Linked DNA regions of Cricetulus griseus. The protein of the gene in region 1 binds, or shares a complex with, the protein of each later gene. Links are inferred from orthologs where the notes say so. Each region holds a gene or a part of one and is shown on either strand. Other genes may lie near its edges.

Region 1 (3,655 bases):
AGTGCTGGGACTAAAGGCGTGCACCACCACTGCCCGGCTCACAATATAGTTTTCTTAAGTGCACTTACTAATGTTTATACATAAACTAAAATTTAAATAATATTCATCTTATATTATTTTATAAATAATTTAATGAGCTGATTTGACCACCTATTAATCAAATTCTGTACATAGATTAAATAGCTCTATTTGCTTCAACTTTACCTACTCACAAATAAAATGAACAAAGAAACTAAAGGATATGCAATGCAAACTACAAAACAAATAATAAAAATAAATAATGAAAACAACAGTTAAGGGAAGGTACTATACTGTTCAGAAAGCTACAATTAAATGTTTTTAATTACACTTGGTTCTCACTTTTATGTTTAGTGTTCCCAAAGCAGAATACAGTAAACAAATGAATGGTAAATACAAATTAACTGTATGGACTATTCATTGTCAGCTATTAGAAATAGTATATAAGAACTGAAAAAGAGAGAAACTAGGAACAAATCTAACATTTTATACTTTATTGCCATTACTAAATATTATTTAGAAAATTCCAGAAACCATACCCAATAATATACCAATCAAAATACAAATTCTTCCAATTACCTCTTCTAGTGACTTGCAAGTGGCTTGTGTTTTAAGAATTGTTCGAATATTCTCCTTAATTTTGTGTAAAGCAATTTCGAGTTGGTTTGGAAGGGGCAAGCTGGGGTCTGGCATTGATCCTGTAGCCTCTTCAAACTATTGAAAAATAACATGCTTTAAAAACAGCAGTGTAGTACTGAGAAAACAATATTATATCTTTTAAATGTGTCAAAAAAAATCATGAGCTAAATTTTACTTCTCTTTAATAAACAAAGAAACCCATGACAATTCACCTAAAGCACCATACAGTTAAAAATATACCTAATCCCAAGAAGCAGCAAACACAATTAGTCATTTTTTATACCTTTTGTGCTGCACTGAGTATTTCATTTTGCTGACGGTCAAAAAGGTCTAGTTGGCGTTCTAGCTCAACTTCTCGTTGATCCCAAGCCATTTGTCTTTCTTCATGAAACTAAAAAAGACATTTGGTTAGGCCATACACAGTGACACTGAGCATGTAACAGGTATATGTACATTTTCTTATTTAATCCTCATCTTTTGGCAACTATCACTCTTATTACATAGGAAAAGATACAAACTTAGGAGGTCAAGCCAAGTTGCCTAAGATCACAGAGGTGGGCAGGTATGAAGTCAGAATTTCAATCTAGTCATGAATCCATTCATCCATGCATTCCAAACATGTATTTTTCAAGCACCATTTGGGGCAATATAAGCATAGCAATAAACAAAACCTCATCTGTCACCAAGGAACTTATATCCCAGGAAGTAAGAAACAGGCAATAACAATTATGTAAGACACTAGAGGATGGCCAACACTAGAAAATGAAAGCAAGTACTCTCTATGTAGGGAATTTTGATGGCACAATTGACTATTCAATACCAAGGAGCCTTTGCAGTTCCATCTGCAAGAAGAAATGTGAGTGAAGATCTTAAGGCAGTGACAGTGTGAACATGAGTATCTATGATACAGAAGACAGACCTAAGCACAGGGAACACAGTCTCTGTCTCTATGGCAAGTATGTGTTTTCTGAGTGTCATCTGGCTCTCAAGCATCTACTGTTTCTACCCCATGCTGTGTTCTAAATCAACAATGACAACAGGCAGAAACTTGCCTGAAGAAGTCAAATAACTTATCAAAATAAAAATTAACTTACTAGTAAGTTTGATGACATACTGTCTTTTTGTTTTGTTTTAAGCTTAAGACTTCTGTTACAACTGAGTCAATTTGCACATTTGGAGTTTAAGAAGCAAGAAACAGGTTATTTTGTTTCTCAATATGACAGGAGCTATATTTCATCACAACAATACAGCTTAAATGTAATGACCTGATGTTTATAGCCTTAACAAAAGAACAGAAGTAAAAAGAGAAGGAAACCTTGCTCTGCTGAACAATTTCTTCCTCAAGACTGTTGATTGTTTGCTCATATTCAGAGATGATATTGTTCAAGTATTTGATTTCTTCTTTACCCTTGGCTAGTTCTCGATTTAGCTTAAGTTCCTGAAGGCGAAGTTCTTCTATTTTCACATGCCAATTGATTACCTAAATTATATATACACATAAATGCTATATTATTGTTTTAATTGAAATTAATGGCAAACTGTAATAAGATGAAAGAAGTTAGTCTATAGCCAAGACATATGGCAAAGCTATTTAGAATTTCCAAAGACTATTCTAAAATATGTACAATATTAAAATAAAACAGTCTTCAAATTATTTTTAAATGAATAAACAGATATCAGTAACATTTCCTTTCAGTTTTTCATTCAGTGTCACTTGTTTTTTAGTGACACGTTGGTACTGCTCTGAGTTCCCACCATTGTCTACAGTGATGTAGCCACTGGTGACACACTCATGTTCCAGGGCACAGCTGCTCACTCACACCCACATGCTCAGTCAGTAACAAAATGAAAATGAAAACACATGAAACACAGGACAAGGATTCGATGGGATGAAGTGGTGGGGGTGAGGAAGAAGAGGCTACTATAAAGTGTGACCAGAATCTACTGTATAAACATATAAAAGAATAAATTTTGAGAAATCTGTCCAATAAATGAAAATTAAAAAAAAAAAAGAAATTCTAAGTTGTTCTACATAGAGAAAAGGATGTAACTAGAAGGTATTATTTACCATTTAATTCTTCCCAAATGATGGCAAAAACTAAACTTTAAAACATAAATGTGGACATCTATGAAAACTATAAGTGTACACAAGGAAGATCTATAAGTAAAAACATGGAAAAACAAATAAACAGAAAATATTTGTGGAGTAGAAATAAACTGATAACTATTAAGTCATTTAAATTATTATACTTAACATTTATTTGACCTTTCTTAGAATGTTTAAGATTCTGTGCTATCACACACAATAAAAGTATTTTTGCTAAAGATCCTTGCATAGGAAAGTGCAAATTCCCACTGTGTTAGATCTAAGCTAATTACAACTAGTATTTTAAATGCAGGTTGAATATTTTTCATGAAGCTATGAATTAAGAGTAATATTACTACATAACATAGAAATACTGAGTTTCAGATCAAGTTTTACCTTTTGGGCGCCCCTGGCATCCTTTAAAGTACTTATCAATTCTTCTAAGCCTTTTAATTTTAATTCCATCTCCATCGTTTTATTTTCCATATTTCTGCGCTCTTGTTGAGAATTTTTCATTTCTTGCATGATCTTCAGTTTGTCATTTTGCAGCTGAATCATTGTTTTGGAGAACTTTTCCTGCTGGGCCAAGGGTAAAGCGCCACTGAACTGTCTTCGTAGAGACTGAATAGTTTGGCGCAGGTGCTTTGCTCTGTTTCTGCCTTCCAGGCGAGCATAGAAGAGAGTCTGCTCTTTTTCATCCAGTTTCTGCTCAAGGCGCAAATTGTAGGCCTCCATCTTCTGGAGTTTAGATGTAACTGACTCCAACTTACCAAGAGCAGTAGCCTCACTAATTTGAAGAGAGACAACATGTTGGTGCAGTTTGGCAATTAGTGCCTTTTCATCAGATTGTGCCTAACAGTAAAAACACATATTTACAGTAATAAGTGCCTTTTTATCAGATTGTGCCTAACA
Region 2 (3,655 bases), on another chromosome or scaffold:
TCTTCAGGCAACAGGCAAAGAGAGAGACTGGGCCTATCCTGAGTCTTTGACCCCTAAAAGCCCACCCCAGTGACACACCTCCTCTAACAAGGACACACCTCCTAATCCTTCTCAAACATTTCCACTCCTTGATGACTAAGCATTCAAATATGTGAGCCTATGATGGCCAGTCTCATTCAAACCAGCACAAGGACATATTAATGAATGTTGTCATAACTCAGGTACACTGACTGGTAGCCCAATTTTGTAATGCTTCTGTTCCCTCTTTATGTATTCATTTACCACATGCACATAAATTCATAAGCACATCCCTTTTTCCACATGTTCCTCTAGTGTAAATACATTATACCTAGTCCATTATACCTATACCAGTGCCTCTGGGCACTGTTTTTCTTTTTATTTTCTAAGTTTTCTTCTTATATATATTGAAGTGAGTAGCTGAGATTTCTTTTATGAATAGAAGATAATGAGGTGTGTATAATGAACATAACCATCTTCATTAAAGGAGAATATCAGAGAGATTCCTTCATTGTAATGAACACCAGCCTCACATAATATAAATGGAGACCAAGAGAGACATCTGGATTTCCATCCAACTTGGTAGTACCTGGGCACTCTGCTCCTGTCCACTGGAATGGGGTTAGAAGAAGGTATACAATAAGTCAGAGCTTTTAAACATTGGCCAAAGGCAATGAGTTCACCCTTACCCTCTGCTGTCTGGACAACAAATACATCAGCAATGAGGAAATCCTAACAAAGAACCCATGGGTGCATGCATAGAGACTTAAGATACAGCGCCCCTCCGTGATCATCCCGAGTACTCCTGGCCATAGCAGTGCATTGTGGGGATGTGTCAATGAGTAATTAAAATGCCCCAAAGAAACTGAAAGACTGAGGATACAGTTCAGAGGGAGAGTGTTTGTGTTGATGTACAAGACTTAGGGTTCAGACTGAATAAATAAATGAATAAATATTTCTCTTCAGAGAAGTGAAAAATTCATCAAAAGTAAAGAAAAATAGATATAAATTAAATGGAACTTCTAAAAGAAAACAAGTAAAACAAAAACACAGCATATGAGATAAATAGAATTGAGGACAGTAAAGAAGAAATAAATACACTTGTCAATAGACTAATTGGATAATTGCAACAGAAAGTAAGTTTGTTGCTTCCCCCCACTCCACTCCTCAGAGAGGTAAGCCTTCCCAGGGGAAGTCAACAAAGTCTGGCATATCACTGTAAGCCTGGACCAGGGCCTTCCTTCCTATACCTAGGCTGAGCAAGGTATCCCTCCAAAAAGAATGGGCTCCAAAGCCAGTTTAAGAACTAGGGATAAATCCTGGCCCCACTGCCAGTGGCCCCACAGACTGTCCAAGTCACACAACTTTTACCCACATCTAGAGGGCCTAGTTTGATCCTGCTTTTTAACTTGTCTGTCTCAGGTAATTGATGGTCCATATAAGTCCATCTCAATCCCCACTAGTCCCACTGTCTCCATCTCATACCTTAATTGAAAATAACAGAGATGATAGACCAATGTGTTCTTGCAACTTTGGCAAAAGGCTAAACATGCTTGTGTTCTCAGCTCACACTGAAAAGGTGTATTTGATATACCTACTTGTGCAAATGGATTTAGTATCATTTACATGAGTTTGTTGGACTCTGTTGTTAATGATTTTATAATCTTCACTATACTCATGTTATACATTTTCAAGTATGTAGTTAAGAAAATACCCTCTATGATTAGCCAATTTCATTTATACTTTGCTTTATTATAATGATGTAAAACTCTTTAAAGGCAGGCTAATATTTCAAGCTTATACAATTAATTGCTTAGTTGACTTACTGTGTTCTAATGTGTCATTTAGGGAAGATAAGTTCTCAGTTAAGTTGGGCTCAATGTCATTCATTAACATTTAAAATTATTTTTATTATATTGATCAGGTGTGTCCGCTGTGAACCAACGTTCGTGAATACCAGCCGGTCTTGTACATGTTCAGAGCCTCACATTTTAGTAAGGACAAACAAGGGGATGAAGTACATATTTTTAATTCAATACATAATAATACTTTTCTATAATTAGATATTTTTCTCTTATTAATTTGTGAAGACAGGTGGATTATGTTTCAGCAACACAGGGAATTTTCGACAACGTGTGATTTCCACGGCACGTTACGGAGAGCTTGTGAGTGTTTTGGGGTTCTTTTTTGATTGACCAAGCTTGTCTTGCATTTCTTCCTTTGATTAATTTCAGACAAACTGAGAAAGCTTTATGTGTAAATGACTTTAAAATACAAATAGTTAAAACCATGAGTCTGACATCTCAGCAGTATATTTTAAAAGTGTACTCCTTCTCTTTACCTTCTCTCATCCCTTTAATTTACATGAATTTACTTTTTCATAATTAAAACTGAAATTGCCAGGCAATGATGATCCCACCTCTCAGGAGGTAGAAGTAGGTGGAACTTGTGAGCTCGAGGTCAGTCTGGTCTACAGAGTAAGTTCCAGAACAGCCAGAACTATGCAGAGAAGCCCTGTCTCAGTGGAGGAGAGGGGAGAAATAATTTTCAAAGAATCACAACGTTGTATTTTTCCTGAAATTTCCAGCTTTTAGAGGTTATGTTCTTTTTTGTTTTCCAGTTTGAGACAAGCCCTCTGTCTGTCCTTTTCTTTCATGAACTTGACAGTTCAGGTTCCAAGACTTCCCATCTGTGGGATAACTCCAGCCTGCATCTGTCCTGTGCCTCATCATAGTCAATGTGTGCTTGCTAGAAAACCATTAAAGAAAAAATGGTATACTCAACTCAGTGCTCTATGTCCTGTCAGACAGTGTACAATGTCTCTCCATGTCAGAGAGCATACAGTGACTGTCTGCCTGCCCCATCGCTGATACTGTCAATTTTGAACACCAGCTATGATGTTATTATGAGTACCTTAAACTCACCATTTCCTCCTTTGTAATTGAAGAGTGCTTTTTTAAAGAGAATTTCTCCTGTCCAAGGACTGTCTGAGCCTGACCCTGCTTAGCTTCTGAGATAGGTGCAGTCAGGGTGGTGAGGCCATAGATGGTGTGAGGAGAATTTCAAAGGCTATATATACTTTACTGAGTCTTAATGTACCATCTGATCTCCCTTTGTGATTCTTTCCTTTAACAGCCTTCCACATTTATTCACTGACACTGTTCATAAAGAACATTTGTGCATGTGTGAATATGTGTGTGTGAGCATAACTGTGCACGTGTATGTTTCCTAAAAAAGAAAATTTTGCTTACTGAAGAGATGAAAACAGTGCCTCATAATTGTATTTTAATGTATCTGATGGCTGTGATACCATTCTAGATTTGGTTGTATCTCCTCTGTTATCTGTAACTCACTCTTGTGTTCTCAGTTTTTGAGCTTTTGACCAGAGGTTTATACCTATATATAGTTCTCAGAATTCAGTTATGAAAACAGGTTTGATGACACACTTCTATAGTCCTAGTACTTGAAAGTGGAAGCAAGAGGATCAAGAGTTCAAGGTCAAAGTTGTCTATGTAGTGAGTTTGAGACCAATCTGGGCTGCATGAAACCTGTCTCCATAAAATAAACAAACAAAAACCATGTATGCCTGCCCTGGCCTGGCCTCCTGGAGTTTCTGGTTGCCTTTGGATAAATAAAG

The links. Proteins that work in one complex are often made in the same cells at the same time.
Region 2: Cep290 (region 1) and Tmem67 share a complex: the UniProt entries of both Homo sapiens proteins name them as parts of the tectonic-like complex. The link is inferred for Cricetulus griseus from reciprocal best matches to the Homo sapiens genes CEP290 and TMEM67.

Annotation. Positions count from the first base shown.
Region 1 is NW_023276806.1:166,108,476-166,112,130, reverse strand, and holds part of Cep290 (centrosomal protein of 290 kDa), read right to left. Parts: intron 3,596-3,655; coding exon 3,140-3,595; intron 2,138-3,139; coding exon 1,973-2,137; intron 1,049-1,972; coding exon 941-1,048; intron 733-940; coding exon 598-732; intron 1-597. UniProt on the Homo sapiens protein: Involved in early and late steps in cilia formation. Its association with CCP110 is required for inhibition of primary cilia formation by CCP110.
Region 2 is NC_048595.1:126,333,790-126,337,444, reverse strand, and holds part of Tmem67 (meckelin), read left to right. Parts: intron 1-1,942; coding exon 1,943-2,012; intron 2,013-2,108; coding exon 2,109-2,183; intron 2,184-3,655. UniProt on the Homo sapiens protein: Required for ciliary structure and function. Part of the tectonic-like complex which is required for tissue-specific ciliogenesis and may regulate ciliary membrane composition.